Xenopus tropicalis: one gene and its partners. The protein of the gene in region 2 interacts with the protein of the main gene of each other region in a pairwise test. Links are inferred from orthologs where the notes say so. Each region holds a gene or a part of one and is shown on either strand. Other genes may lie near its edges. The genes, in order: trim23, flad1, prtfdc1 and sdcbp.

Region 1 (4,383 bases), on a different chromosome or scaffold from region 2:
ACATGTACTATACAATAACTACAGTCAGCATTACCTCTCCAGAGCCGCCCATTGCCTCTTCTACAGTGCTACACTGACTACTGGCACCATTCTGCAACCGCTCCAGGAGTTCCAGTAATGCAAAATTTTTCTTTAAGCCCCACACACCAGAGTCTCCTGTATAAGAACAAGACATTTACACATTATTTAAACAAATAATAATCTTAATTTCTTACTGTTCAGCTTCTCTGCAATTATAAGACAATGCCTAGTACTTGATGGCAATGAAGGTAGCTTATTGTATCCAAACTGGCATCAAAACAATATATATATTTTTTAAATATGTCAATGCTTATTTAACAGTCTTAAGGCATGATGATCCAAATTAAAGAAAAAAACCTAATCCCATACCAAAGGAATAATTCATTAAATAAAACAAATGGTTTTTAACATTTTGGAACAGAATAAAGGAGAGATTCTCAAAAGATGGGCTGTTCCCAGAGTTTCTAAAGCACACCCAGACTGGCAATCTGTGGATTCTGGCAAATGCCAGAGGGGCAGCTGCCTATTATAAATCCCAGTCTGGGCCTGTTTGAGAGCAGTGGGTCACCCAGTATCTATTTGTTGCAAGAGAGAGCAGCTAGTGCAGAGCAACTTGAAGCAAATGGGAAGCAATCTGCAGCAGGTAACAGCTATCAAAATCCTTGTGTTATAGAGACCTTAAATACATTACATAATACTATTGCTTAGTAAAGTAAAAAATGAATTCTTTAATACCTAGTTCAGTAGCTTGTCTGTCAAATGGACAGCGTATGGCTCTGCCATGAAGAGGCAGGCGTGTTAGACAGTCATGGCACACAGTATGGCCGCAAAGCAGCAAACGTGGAACTTTATCTCCTTGCAGTGAAAAGACATCTTCACAGACACCACATTCCAGAACCTAGTGTTGATTAAACAATTGTGGAAAGGTTACATTGTGGAGAGACATTTAAATATATCAGTCTGAAAGTTACGAGGATGCAACCATGTTGCTGGATGTATCATTTGCTTGCTAAAGATCAGGCTGGGGACCACTGCTCCTCCTGAACAGCCCAGGAAAGCTGCCTGTGGAAGTGGAAAGGCTGGGTGGTGCTAATAAGGTTTAAGATAAATTAAAGCAGCATTTTCTCTTAAAATGATACAGTGCTATGTATCCTTGCAGCAATATAAAAATAAAGTTATAAATACATACAATAGGCTTATTGCCTTTGCAGATGTGGGTATGGAATATCAATAGCTGCCATTGGGTATTATCCATATGCTTCCTACATCTAGCTGACTTTGCATGCTGGGAGTTGTAGTTCATTGGGAGTTAAAACGCATAGGAAAGTTGAAAGACAACCCTGTATAGGACATTTACACTTATCCATACAGCCAGGGCTGGAGTTAAAGGGGGGTGGGTAGCTTGCAATGCAGAAAGCCTGGAGTCTGATGAAGGGGATTAATATATGTATATATAATATATTAGGGATGTTTAACCTGCAGCCCTCCAGTTGTTGTTCTGCTAGAACTCTCAATAGCCCTACTAGCCAATGTATGGAGGTGCAGTACAACAAGAACAAAGAGCTCTAAGGCTGCCCATAGCTAATGTCAGTGGCATAACTAGAGGTGTCTGGGCCCCACAGCAAATTCATATTACCCCCCCCCCCCCCCCCTAAAGTTTAAGAGTTATTGTACATAAGTATATACTGGAATTGCTTATCACTCAGTGTCTGGGCCCCACAGCAAATTCATATTACCCCCCCCTAAAGTTTAAGAGTTATTGTACATAAGTATATACTGGAATTGCTTATCACTCAGTGTCTGGGCCCCGCAGCAAATTCATATTACCCCCCCCCCCCCTAAAGTTTAAGAGTTATTGTACATAAGTATATACTGGAATTGCTTATCACTCAGTGTCTGGGCCCCGCAGCAAATTCATATTACCCCCCCCCCCCCTAAAGTTTAAGAGTTATTGTACATAAGTATATACTGGAATTGCTTATCACTCAGTGTCTGGGCCCCGCAGCAAATTCATATTACCCCCCCCCCCCCTAAAGTTTAAGAGTTATTGTACATAAGTATATACTGGAATTGCTTATCACTCAGTGTCTGGGCCCCGCAGCTTCCTCTCTAGCACAATATAATAGGCCCTTTCTGCTTTGTTTCCCCCTAGGAGTATCCCATCTCCGAAACTGCCCTTTCCCCTAAAGCCTCCCTGCACTCTGCAACGAAATGATGTAGGAAGGAGAATGCATATAGCCAGACGCAGGGGGGCCCTCCTGCAGGGATAAACCAGGGCCCAAACTACACGGCATACACTTCTCCCGTAACCCTGCTCTAGTATCACCTTTACTGCTCCCCCCGGACCGGTCCGGCTCTGCCGTCCGCTGCCCTCCATTCTTCCAGGGCCGCCGTGTCTGTTTACAGCGACAGCCATGTTGACAGCTGGACCGTACCACTTCGGGTAGAGGGTTGAGAAATCATGTGAATCCTGGTGTTGAAAATGGCATTATTTAAGAATAAACCCTGTTTTAAAAAACAATGAATATATCTACTTAGGTTCATAACAGTAGCAATCTGAGAAGTCTAATCCGTATGACACCACCGACTGAGCAAAAGGCTTTTAAAACTATTACTAGCGAAACCGCAAAGTGGTTTCACCCAATAGCTATAACCCAACTCAGTCTCTTGCCTCAGAAAAATGGGAGCTAACGCTATAAGGCGCCATCTTAAACATTGGCAAACGTGCCCTCATATTTTTCCCCTGAAACAAAAACAAAATGATAGATAGCAGAGACGGCGATTCTGTGGTTCTGCAGCTTTTGTCGAAATAAAAGTTTTGCAGGGCTCTGTTGCAATGTGAATAATAGAACTGAGAAGCGGAAAAAGCCTCTGCGCATGCGCATTTTGTTTTACTAGAACTGGCCCTTTCGTCTTCCCGTACAGGCAGTTCCGGGTGTGTGTAGGGGTGGTGACGGCGGTTCTGGCACCATGGACGTCAATCAGCCCAAGCAGGAACATTTGTTGGCCCTGAAAGGTATCAGTGTGAGGCTGTGGTGTGTGTTCTCTGCGCCCTGACTGGGGAGTCAGCCCGGCCTGCCCCAAGCTGTAGCACAGGAGCCAGAGCTTTCCTGCACTGGCCATTCCCATAGGTGTCCTGGCCCACTCACTTCTGTTCCAGAGTACATAGACTATGCACCTAAGCAAGAGGCTGCCCTGCCTTGCCCTGTCATTTCTAGTTACTTCCATCCCTTGCCATTATGGTAGCCACATTGAGTGATCTTCTTAACCATTGATGCTACAGTAACCCCATGGCAGCGCAGTTAGTGCAAATGATTATTCTGCAAAGCAGCAGTTACTCAGATTGTCTGCCATAGCTGAGTGGCCCCCTCCTGCTTATGCTTGCGTTTGGAGCAGGTTGGGGGCCCATAGGACACAAAGAAAGTGCATGGAATTAACCAATTGGGCATGATCTCATTGGTGGGCTCCACAACGGTTACAATACATTTTTGTATGATTATCCTCAAGCAGGGGAACTAAAATACAATAATGCTGGAAATACAGAAAAACTCTGTGCTGACTAATAGACATGATAAATGATAGACATACCAACCTGTACCAACAGTGATGGGAAAGATAAACTGTAATCTCAACTAAACCAGGTTTTTATTAAGAATATATCATTAAGGAACATTTGTTCTAATTAAAAGTAAGTTAATAGCAAGGATGAGCTCATCCAGCTGACAAATATAAGGGTTCTACTATTTTTTGAGAGCAGCGTCATTCAAAAGTTACAGTAGATGTAATAAATAGCCCTGGTATCAGGTAGTAATTATTTAGGTCTTTTGGGGCTTTAAAACATTACACGGGGGCCAATTTATGCATATACGTGTAAGGGGTGCAACAAACAGCATTGTAAAGTGAACCTTGTGCAAGCAGAGCTGTGCAGCAAAACAAATTAATGGCACACACAATGCCAAATTAACTAACATTAATGGAACAGGCAGGTCAGTACAATGAAATATAATACAAAATACAGTTACATTCAGGATTAAGTGGTAGAGACGAGAGGAAAGAGATTTTCCCCATAGAATCTAGATAGGAGTTCTCTAATAATCAGACATTGATAGATGTAAAGCAAAACATTTTTTCCCATAAGTGCTTTAAGAAGATTTTTCTGATCAATTTAGTGGCTTGGAATATAAGCAATACAGTATGAAAATAATACGATAATTCTCTTTTGGTGCTGGCTGCTTTGTAAATAGCTGCTCCAAAGTGCAAATATAAAATTTAATAGATTGTTAACAACATTTTTTTTTTGTGGATTTGCTTCAGTTTATGGTGTCATTATGTGTTACAGGTATGGAACCTGTTATCCAGAAT
Region 2 (3,651 bases):
GCGTGGGTCCCCCTGGCAGTGTGCCCCTAGCGTGGGTAACTCTGGCGTTCTGCCCCTAGTGTGGGTCCCCTGGTGTTCTGCCCCTAGCGTGGGTAACCCTGGCGTTCTGCCCCTGGCGTGGGTCCCCCTGGCGTCCTGCCCCTGGCGTGGGTCCCCCTGGCGTTCTGCCCCTGGCGTGGGTCCCCCTGGCGTTCTGCCCCTAGCGTGGGTCCCCTCTGGTGTTCTGCCCCTAGCATGGGTAACCCTGGCATTCTGCCCCTAGCGTGGGTCCCCCTGGCGTTCTGCCCCTAGCGTGGGTCCCCCTGGCGTTCTGCCCCTAGTGTGGGTCCCCTCTGGTGTTCTGCCCCTAGCGTGGGTCCCCCTGGCGTTCTGCCCCTAGCGTGGGTCCCCCTGGCGTTCTGCCCCTAGTGTGGGCCCCCTCTGGTGTTCTGCCCCTAGCGTGGGTAACCCTGGTGTTCTGCCCCTAGTGTGGGTCCCCTGGTGTTCTGCCCCTTGGCACTTGTACCCTCCTGGCCGTGGGTCCCTGGCGTTCACTGTACAGTGGGACACAAGGACGGGCATCAAACTTACAGACACATCAGAAGGACGAGGAACTGAGAGGGGGGGGGAGTGAAGACATTCACTCCCCCATTATTGGCACTTAAAGCTCCAGTACAGTCTGACTGACAAACAGCCCCCCCGCCCCCCCACAGACTGGCAGGCAAGTTAGGAGGAGGGAACCATTTAGTGACGGGGGTGGGGGGGCACTGATGATTGGGGGGTGGGGCACTGATGATTGGGGGGTGGGGCACTGATGGTTGGGGGGTGGGGCACTGATGATTGGGGGGTGGGGCACTGATGATTGGGGGGTGGGGCACTGAGGATGGGGTGGGTGGGGCACTGATGATGGGGTGGGTGGGGCACTGATGATAGGGGGGTGGGGCACTGATGATAGGGGGGTGGGGCACTGATGATAGGGGGGTGGGGCACTGATGATAGGGGGGTGGGGCACAGATGATAGGGGGGTGGGGCACAGATGATGGGGTGGGTGGGGCACAGATGATGGGGTGGGTGGGGCACTGATGATAGGGGGGTGGGGCACAGATGATGGGGTGGGTGGGGCACAGATGATGAGGTGGGTGGGGCACTGATGATTGGGGGGTGGGGCACTGATGATGAGGTGGGTGGGGCACTAATGATGAGGTGGGTGGGGCACTGAGGATGAGGTGGGTGGGGCACTGATGATTGGGGGGTGGGGCACTGATGATTGGGGGGTGGGGCACTGATGATAGGGGGGACACTGATGTGTCAAGACTAATTACTTCCTGGAGACTCGCTCCTCCTCCTCATTTTCCAGCTTGTAGGCAGGCTGGTAGCTCTCAGTGCCCCCCGGGGTGGTGAATCGCAGGGCCGGGTTCTTCACGGTGTTCTCCATGCTGCCCAGAGACGTGTAACTGTAACGGGAGTGGGTGGAGTCAGGGACCCGCGGGAGGAGGAGCTAGAAAGGGCCACATACAGATATAGGGAGCAGAATGAGATGCACAGGGATAGTTACCCTTTATCATAGAGAATACAGTAGGGAATGTAGAGAGTCCGCAGGAAGTCCCAGATGTCTCCGTACGACCAATCCTGCAGTGGGGAATAATAATAACGTTGCACTGGCGCTTCTGACACTGCAGGACTTGTATTGTGAAAGTAGGCAAATCCTTGCCCTGGGGGGGGCGCTCTGCAACTAGAGGCTTGGCTGCTCCCAATGATATGAGCCAAATAGGAACAATAACCTGCATGTGTCACTGAGCATTATGGGAAATTAAAGGCACTGACCCCCACCAAGAGAGGAATAGGATGTCAGGGAGTAGTACTGACCCACTAAGCTGACACTTGGCAGGGAGGCGCACCCCGTACCTCCTTGGGTAACAAGCAAAGGGAGTGGCACACAGAGCTGACACTCACCAGTAGGGGGTTCACTCGCATGTACTGGGGCCAGTCGGGGTCCGTCAGGCACATGGGGGTCAGTGTCCGGGAGTAGGGGTCGGAGCGCCTGGTGCCCATCAGAACCGCTTCCAGATTGGGTTGTTCTGCTTTCAGGTCCATAAGCGCCTGCTTGATGTACCCCTGGATGGTGTAGATCCGGAGATTGTACCTGTAGGGGCAATAAGGGGGGTTACGCTCAGAGCCCGGGGGGGGGGTCGCTGACCCCACAGGGCTCCTCTCACCGTTTGGTCGTGCTCTGCATGAACTGCTCCATCTCTGGGAAGGGCGAGACGATCCGGATGTACAGCGCCTGCAGGTGGTCCTTCCGCTCCGGGTATTTCCTGAGGGGCAAAGAAGGGGAGTGGGTGACCTGGGGCACCTCCTGACTGGGGGGGCTCTGTGGGGGGCATCTCCTCACCTCTGTACAGCGGCGTGGAACAGGTGCAGGAGGGCCGTGCAGTCTTTGCCCCCATTAAAGGCCACACAGATCTTGTCCAGGCTGTAAGTGTCGAGCCCCTCCTCCAGGATGCGCAGTGCCGCCGCCACCTTGTCCCCCAGGGGCGAGCCTATTGGGCACAAGGGAATCACTGCCGTGACTGGGTGCCACACTGGGGCCCCACCCTCCCAGGGTTCCACACAGGGGCCCCACCCTCTACTCACACTGATTGGATTCACTTACCCAGGGGGATGTTCTTGCCTGACCATGGGAAAGAGAGCAGCCCAGGAGCAGGAAGTACAGAGAATCAGAGCTCTGTACCTGGGTAAGTACTGGGGGGAGATTGGATTCACTTACCCAGGGGGAGGTTCCTGCCTGACCATGGGAAAGAGAGCAGCCCAGGAGCAGGAAGTACAGAGAATCAGAGCTCTGTACCTGGGTAAGTACTGGGGGGAGATTGGATTCACTTACCCGGGGGGGGGTTCCTGCCTGACCATGGGAAAGAGAGCAGCCCAGGAGCAGGAAGTACAGAGAATCAGAGCTCTGTACCTGGGTAAGTACTGGGGGGAGATTGGATTCACTTACCTTGGGGGGGTTCCTGCCTGACCATGGGAAAGAGAGCAGCCCAGGAGCAGGAAGTACAGAGAATCAGAGCTCTGTACCTGGGTAAGTACTGGGGGGAGATTGGATTCACTTACCCAGGGGGGAGGTTCCTGCCTGACCATGGGAAAGAGAGCAGCCCAGGAGCAGGAAGTACAGAGAATCAGAGCTCTGTACCTGGGTAAGTACTGGGGGGAGATTGGATTCACTTACCCGGGGGGGGTTCCTGCCTGACCATGGGAAAGAGAGCAGCCCAGGAGCAGGAAGTACAGAGAATCAGAGCTCTGTACCTGGGTAAGTACTGGGGGGAGATTGGATTCACTTACCCAGGGGGAGGTTCCTGTCTGACCATGGGAAAGAGAGCAGCCCAGGAGCAGGAAGTACAGAGAATCAGAGCTCTGTACCTGGGTAAGTACTGGGGGGAGATTGGATTCACTTACCCAGGGGGGAGTTCCTGCCTGACCATGGGAAAGAGAGCAGCCCAGGAGCAGGAAGTACAGAGAATCAGAGCTCTGTACCTGGGTAAGTACTGGGGGGAGATTGGATCCACTTACCCAGGGGGGGGTTCCTGTCTGACCATGGGAAAGAGAGCAGCCCAGGAGCAGGAAGTACAGAGAATACATTTAACCCTATAAGCCACGCCATAGGGTACCTGACTGGGC
Region 3 (3,203 bases), on a different chromosome or scaffold from region 2:
ACTATAAGGTAAGGTTACACTATCGGGTAGGGTTACACTATAAGGTAAGGTTACGCTATCGGGTAGGGTTACACTATAAGGTAAGGTTACGCTATCGGGTAGGGTTACACTATAAGGTAAGGTTACGCTATGGGGTAGGGTTACACTATCGGGTAGGGTTACACTATAAGGTAAGGTTACACTATCGGGTAGGGTTACACTATCGGGTAGGGTTACGCTATCGGGTAGGGTTACGCTATCGGGTAGGGTTACGCTATCGGGTAGGGTTACGCTATCGGGTAGGGTTACGCTATCGGGTAGGGTTACACTATAAGGTAAGGTTACACTATCGGGTAGGGTTACACTATAAGGTAAGGTTACGCTATCGAGTAGGGTTACACTATAAGGTAAGGTTACGCTATCGGGTAGGGTTACACTATAAGGTAAGGTTACGCTATCGGGTAGGGTTACACTATAAGGTAAGGTTACGCTATTGGGTAGGGTTACACTATAAGGTAAGGTTACACTATCGAGTAGGGTTACACTATAAGGTAAGGTTACGCTATAAGGTAAGGTTACACTATCGGGTAGGGTTACGCTATAGGGTAGGGTTACGCTATCGGGTAGGGTTGCGCTATCGGGTAGGGTTACGCTATCGGGTAGGGTTACGCTATCGGGTAGGGTTACGCTATCGGGTAGGGTTACGCTATCGGGTAGGGTTACGCTATCGGGTAGGGTTACACTATAAGGTAAGGTTACACTATCGGGTAGGGTTACACTATAAGGTAAGGTTACGCTATCGGGTAGGGTTACACTATAAGGTAAGGTTACGCTATCGGGTAGGGTTACACTATAAGGTAAGGTTACGCTATCGGGTAGGGTTACACTATCGGGTAGGGTTACACTATAAGGTAAGGTTACACTATCGGGTAGGGTTACACTATCGGGTAGGGTTACACTATAAGGTAAGGTTACACTATTGGGAAGGTTAGTGGAACTGAAACACCCTAAATTGCCACCCACTGTTGACACAAAAACACAAACTTTGGTGAATTTCATGTGTTTCACACAATTCCCTTACTAGCAATAGGAAGGAGATATTACAATGGCCTAAAATCAACACGTGTGCCCTATGTCTACGGGCCGGGCCCTTCCAGGAACATTGTAGTTTGACAAAAATGCCTATATTTATCCCCAGCCTCTAATGTGATTAAGCAGCGGTTGCAGAGAAATGCTGGCCTACAGTGTTTCCATTGTGTGTGCAATGCTATCGCTGGAGTTAATCACTGAGGGACCCGGGCACAGTACTAAAAGGTCAATCTTTCCACGGCTGTGCCGCGTGAATAATGGGTCAGCGCACACAAACAATTAACATACTTACATGAAGGTCTCGAAAATACTCATTGTAATCCAAGGCATAGCCAACCACAAATTTGTTGGGAATTTCAAATCCAGTGTCTATGAATAAAAACAACGTACAAGGCCAGTTAAAGGGCAAACAAAGCATATTATTAGTACATTGTGAAAGTGACAGACTAGGGTGGCATGATCCCAACTATGGTATAATTAACCCTTATTGGGGGCCAAACAATCCAATTTAGTTTATTTAATGTTTAAATGACTTCTTAGTAGACTTAGCATATGGGGATCCAAATTATGCAAAGACCCCTTATCTGGAAAACCCTAGTTCTTAAGCATTCTGGATAACAGGTCCCATACCTGTATCGACTAGGGTCAAGCCAGCATTGCAAGAACACTCAAACAGAGGGCATCATGCTGCTGGCACAGGGGTTAGCACTGCTGACCTAGGCCTGGGAATAGTAAGGGCTCATCATATTTATCAATGCCTGGAATTTATTGTCGTGGGGCAGTTGTTTCCCTACAATAGTGACATGTACGTACAAAAATACTTACAGTCAGGTCTGTACTGATTGCTGGACGCTGATCTTTTCACCAGCAAGCTGCATAAAAACAATATCAAAAGGTATTTTTATTTTCTTCAGCAAATTAAACCTAAATCACTAGCTGCCCCTTGTATATTAGGCAGATGAAAGCAGCCTGACGCAGAGGCTCCCAGACCAACTTTTATTTGCCCCCTTATTCACAAGGCTGCATTTGCCAGTTTCCCCATTCATTACATCCCTACTATACCATATACAGGTATCAGACCCCTTATCCGGAAACCCGTTATCCAGAAAGCCCACCCCCCATAGACTCCATTTTAATCAAATAAGTCAGAATTTTAAAACGGATTTCCTTTTTCTCTGTAGTAATAAAACAGTACCTTGTAATTGATCCCAACTAAGATATAAATAATCCTTATTGGATGCAAAACAATCCTATTGTGTTTAATTAATGTTTTATTGATTTTTTAGCAGACTTAAGGTATGGAGATCCAAATTACAGAAAGACCCCTTATCCAGAATACCCTTGGTCGCGAGCATTCTGCATAATGGGTCCTATACCTGTACACAGTTGCCTGCCTTGTAGAATGGATACACCTAGCTCTTTCCTCTGCAGGTGACTGCTGGTGAAAGTTAAGTTTAGTGTGCAGGTTAATTTAGATTCTACAAGGTATGACACTGGATACATTTCTGGTAAAAAAACAACCAAGGAAGAAAGATTAAAGGATATACAAACTCACAAAACAAATTAATGTAAAATTGCTAAGAGTGCTTACATTCATTTTCTTTTTCTATTTTTAAGATAGTAACAATTTTTAAACTGCTAATATAATGAATTTGATACAACAGCACCACCTGCTGGCCATTTTGGCTGACTGGCTACAGAGAAATGTCAGATGACTCTTCTCTGCTCACTAATTTAATTTTCAAAGCAAAGCATCATCACAAGACTTTCCTTTTCTAAAAAAAATAATTTTCTGCTGACTGTAGTGGAAATGACCAGCAGGTGGTGCTGTGGCATCAAATTCATTAAAAACAGCTAATGAAACTAGAAAAGCAGGAAAAAATATTGTATGTTGCAAAAAGAGCATTACTTTTATTTGTTTTTATGGTATATATTATCTGTAAGGGTTAAAGCTAATGCAATGGAGGGACATGTCCTACAATGCCCAAACTGTGGTGTCTACCAACCTTGCCACTTTCACCATCTTTGGTTTGTATTTTTCTAGCTGACTGAGAAGTGCAGTCATTGTCCTTCCAGTGTTAATAATGTCCTTGAAAAGATACAGAAAAAAGGTAGTCATGCCAATGATTAAAATG
Region 4 (3,651 bases), on a different chromosome or scaffold from region 2:
CTGATTGGACAGTTGCAGATGAATGGTTACATACCCCACCAGAAGGTACCAAAGACATATTTTTATGAATTTCATCTTCACTGAGACTTAAGCCCATGTACTGTTCCAGTTCTGGATAAAGCTTAGGGTACATCCCTGTACAAAAAGAAAACACAGACTATTGGTCTCTTGGTTATGAAGGATTTCTGAATGCAGCACAACACCTACTAGTCAGTTTTAATATATATATATATATGTTATACAGGTCTGATTCACTCAACCCCTACTAAATCTTTCCCCACCGAGTCACTGAGTAACCCACCATCCATTTTTCATAGGCCTCTATGATGATCCAATATATTGGCCTAGGACTATAAACAATCACATCATCCCAATTAGGCCCACTGTTGGCTACATGGGGAAAAGATCTGCTCTTTTGGGAACCTCACTAAACAAGTTTTTGTGTATGGCCAACTAATGATGAAGTATATAAATAAGTCTGTAGACATTACCTCCATATTGAGGAGCTGATGCTGAAGCAGCAGGCAATATTGCTGGATTGACTGGGTTTGCAGAAAAAGTTGTCTGTGCCTGTAGAAAAACAAAACACACATAATTCAATATAGCAATTTATAAAGAACACCCTTCAGCTACATAATGTGCAGTTCAGGTGAATAGAAAAGGTATATTAAGATATTATTGTGCATGTTATTTAAAAAGTACAATGTACGGCTTTGTTTTAACCTGCAATCGAATTTAGCTGACAGATCTAAATATGGCTATATAAACAGAAGGAAGAACTCACTGTTTGTCTAACAAGTGGATCTTTAACCAGTGCAACCACATACATAGTGGGTCTAATGTGTCTGATCCAAGAAGTTGGTCCTTAGGCCAACAATCAGATTATAAAGTGGGTTCTGATTAAGCACAGTTTGACCACCGATACAACAGGCCAATTGCGTCCTGATTAGATTTTGGCTCTAGAAATGCTTCCAATCTGGCCAAGAATGAATTGGCTGGAGATAACTTGCCAACAATATTAAAAATAAAACCCTGGGATCCGGTTTCTGATTCCTTACTTGCACTTATGCCTCTTTTTTAATATTCCTGGATTTTATGTTTTAATTCAGTTTTACTACGTTGACCTAAGTCGGTAAAATCAAGGGTTAATCAAGGCCCCAGAACTATAAACATTGCACAAGCTGCAGAAAACAGCACCGACTCCATGATGCTAGCAACAGGGCAGCTATGCCTGGGAAATATCATATTGTCCCCTCGGGGTTAACAGGTCACATTCTTGAAGTGATCTCATATACAAACAGCACTCTGCTTTTCTGCTGCTGTGCATAAGCAATGAAGGATCAACAGAACAAAGAGTTATAAATTAGTCATTTGTTTCCTTTAAAAAAAAAACAAAAACCTATATCCATTAGAAACCATAGAAGGCAGCGGCTTTTTGTTCCAGTGAATAAAGCAGATCAATCAAGCTAAGATAAATAAATGATTGTAGGAAGCTACTGGACAGCTCATGCACAAGCAGTAAAAGCCCATTACCTGGCGCTCAGCAATTTTCTTTGGGGCTTTACAAGGACACATACTATTAACGTTCAAAGACCATGGCACTTAGCAATTCCAGTCAGGCTGAATCCCTCTTCTTTTTCAATGCTCCTCACAAATTTCACAGTGCAAGTGGAGAAGAATAAACCACTGTACTCATACTCATTGGAGTGAATAACAGTGCCTTTGATTCTGACTATTTAACTGCTCATACTGGACTAAAAAAAAGTTCTGTTTTCGGTAACACTGTTCAAAAAAATAAAGGGCATGCTGACCCAAAATTATAAATGTGCCTTATAAATGAAAATGTAATTCTAAGCAACTTTGCAATATGCACTTGTTAAAATATTCAGTGCTTTTAAAGTTATTTGTAAATACAGCAGCTACAGAAAGCAATATTTGCTTAAACTCCTTTTTGGGTTTTTTTTTTAAACAATGTTGCGAAAGTCCAAGTTCCCAAGCAAAGACAGAGCTGTAAACCTGTAAATCAGCTGGGTTGTTTTACACTGTGTCAACAGTCTGGGCCAGGGGCAGGGAATAGAAAGGCACACAAATTACATATACAAATAACATAAAAACTGTATTGAATTTATACAGCAAAGTTGCTAAGAATTACGTTTTCTTTTATTAGGCAAAAGGTGCAGAAGCCAACCAACCTTAACATCTCAGAACAAATCCACCTGTAACATTTGGCTAACGGTGGATCTCTGCTCCGAACAGCACTTTCTATATGATCCAAAACAAACCTACTTACCTGAACATGGGCTCCCATGCAATACTGAAAACAGGACATCCCCTCCACTTCCATAAAACATAGTGTATATTTAATGTCAAATGAAAGACCTTGAATAGATCAATTTAGCAATAAAAGCCAAGGTATAAACAAACTCACCTGGATGACTTTGTCAACCTTCAGGTCCTCCAGTGAGGGATACAGAGACATTTTTACAGACCTGGGGGTGGGAAAAAAAATGTTACACATGATGGATGTTGCTAGAAACTGGCCTGGTTTATGGGCACTTGTGGAGTTTGGTTTCCATCCCACCCCACACTCACATCTGCATCGGTGTATGTATTGTGTGAATCTCCCCATAGCAGTAATGTTCAGACTGTAGCAAAGGAAAGCTACTTTATATGACACTATAATACATTAACATTCACCTGATAAAGGTAATATAGTTTTAGTTTGTGGTAAGTTTTACCTTTCCTTTCAACTCCTCTAATAGAAATAACTGCCTAGGAAATGTCTTCATTCTTAGTTGCTATTTAAGAGAAAATGAAATGGAAGGTAAAAATATAAAATGTTCCTTTTATTTACATTATTTAGCCACAAGTACCCAGACACCCCTTCGAACAACCAGAATTGGCTATTCACGCTTCACCCATTGCTGACACAAACCACTGACCCACCGCCACTAAATCATTACCAACAGAGAGCTCAGCTCAGTTTCAACATGGCCCCTTTCCAGCAAGTTTATTGAAATATATGCCGAGAAGTCAAGTGAAGTGGAGGTTTCTAGGCACACTGGCAGTTCAGTCACACAGTGACAGAAAGGGGCTGCCGAGAGCTGAAGCTTGTTGTGCATCAATATTTTATGTTCTCAGACACAACCTCGAGGTTCCAAATGGTCTGCAACGTCTGCACTACAGATGCTGTAAATCCAATTATTTGGGATTTGGTCAAAACCTGAATCTTTTGTGAAAGATTTGCCAAATACAGAACCCAAATCCTAATTTGTATTGGCAAATTAAGCCCCCGAAGACTTAAAAATTAATTTTAAGGACTCGGTTCAGCCTGGACCATGTAATATGGCATTTACAGCCATGTTTATTTTTAGGTTTTCCTCCTCCTTTAATTTTTATACATAAAAAAAAATGACAAAACTGGTTTCCCTTATTTCACCAGCCTTTCAAGTTATGCAATTATGGTAAGTACAAGGAAAGCCAATTCGATATAATGAACATGACTCGTGACTTTATAAGAGGATTAATGCATCATGACCACAAGCAGATGACTGTCATATGATCTGCTTGCAAAGAAAGCAGCTTGCAAACCATTTACTTAGTGTTCCTGAAATTCCACATCCAGCAACACATGTTTTACATGTTTCAAAA

What was found.
Region 1: the proteins of flad1 (region 2) and trim23 interact in binary tests that used the Homo sapiens proteins (3 or more experiments, as listed by UniProt). The two-hybrid records come from large-scale screens. The link is inferred for Xenopus tropicalis from reciprocal best matches to the Homo sapiens genes FLAD1 and TRIM23.
Region 3: the proteins of flad1 (region 2) and prtfdc1 interact in binary tests that used the Homo sapiens proteins (3 or more experiments, as listed by UniProt). The two-hybrid records come from large-scale screens. The link is inferred for Xenopus tropicalis from reciprocal best matches to the Homo sapiens genes FLAD1 and PRTFDC1.
Region 4: the proteins of flad1 (region 2) and sdcbp interact in binary tests that used the Homo sapiens proteins (3 or more experiments, as listed by UniProt). The two-hybrid records come from large-scale screens. The link is inferred for Xenopus tropicalis from reciprocal best matches to the Homo sapiens genes FLAD1 and SDCBP.

Annotation. Positions count from the first base shown.
Region 1 is NC_030677.2:187,786,839-187,791,221, reverse strand, and holds the start of trim23 (E3 ubiquitin-protein ligase TRIM23), read right to left. Parts: upstream 2,904-4,383; 5' UTR 2,438-2,903; coding exon 2,348-2,437; intron 920-2,347; coding exon 757-919; intron 157-756; coding exon 35-156; intron 1-34. Other genes in the region: trappc13 (trafficking protein particle complex subunit 13), read left to right, coding at 2,992-3,037.
Region 2 is NC_030684.2:145,235,008-145,238,658, reverse strand, and holds part of flad1 (FAD synthase), read right to left. Parts: coding exon 3,642-3,651; intron 2,520-3,641; coding exon 2,372-2,519; intron 2,295-2,371; coding exon 2,196-2,294; intron 2,123-2,195; coding exon 1,933-2,122; intron 1,609-1,932; coding exon 1,535-1,608; intron 1,434-1,534; coding exon 1,302-1,433; intron 1-1,301. UniProt on the Homo sapiens protein: Catalyzes the adenylation of flavin mononucleotide (FMN) to form flavin adenine dinucleotide (FAD) coenzyme.
Region 3 is NC_030682.2:25,741,836-25,745,038, reverse strand, and holds part of prtfdc1 (phosphoribosyltransferase domain-containing protein 1), read right to left. Parts: intron 3,158-3,203; coding exon 3,075-3,157; intron 1,941-3,074; coding exon 1,894-1,940; intron 1,438-1,893; coding exon 1,361-1,437; intron 1-1,360. UniProt on the Homo sapiens protein: Has low, barely detectable phosphoribosyltransferase activity (in vitro). Binds GMP, IMP and alpha-D-5-phosphoribosyl 1-pyrophosphate (PRPP). Is not expected to contribute to purine metabolism or GMP salvage.
Region 4 is NC_030682.2:116,378,226-116,381,876, reverse strand, and holds part of sdcbp (syntenin-1), read right to left. Parts: intron 2,490-3,651; 5' UTR 2,480-2,489; coding exon 2,429-2,479; intron 571-2,428; coding exon 492-570; intron 136-491; coding exon 35-135; intron 1-34. UniProt on the Homo sapiens protein: Multifunctional adapter protein involved in diverse array of functions including trafficking of transmembrane proteins, neuro and immunomodulation, exosome biogenesis, and tumorigenesis.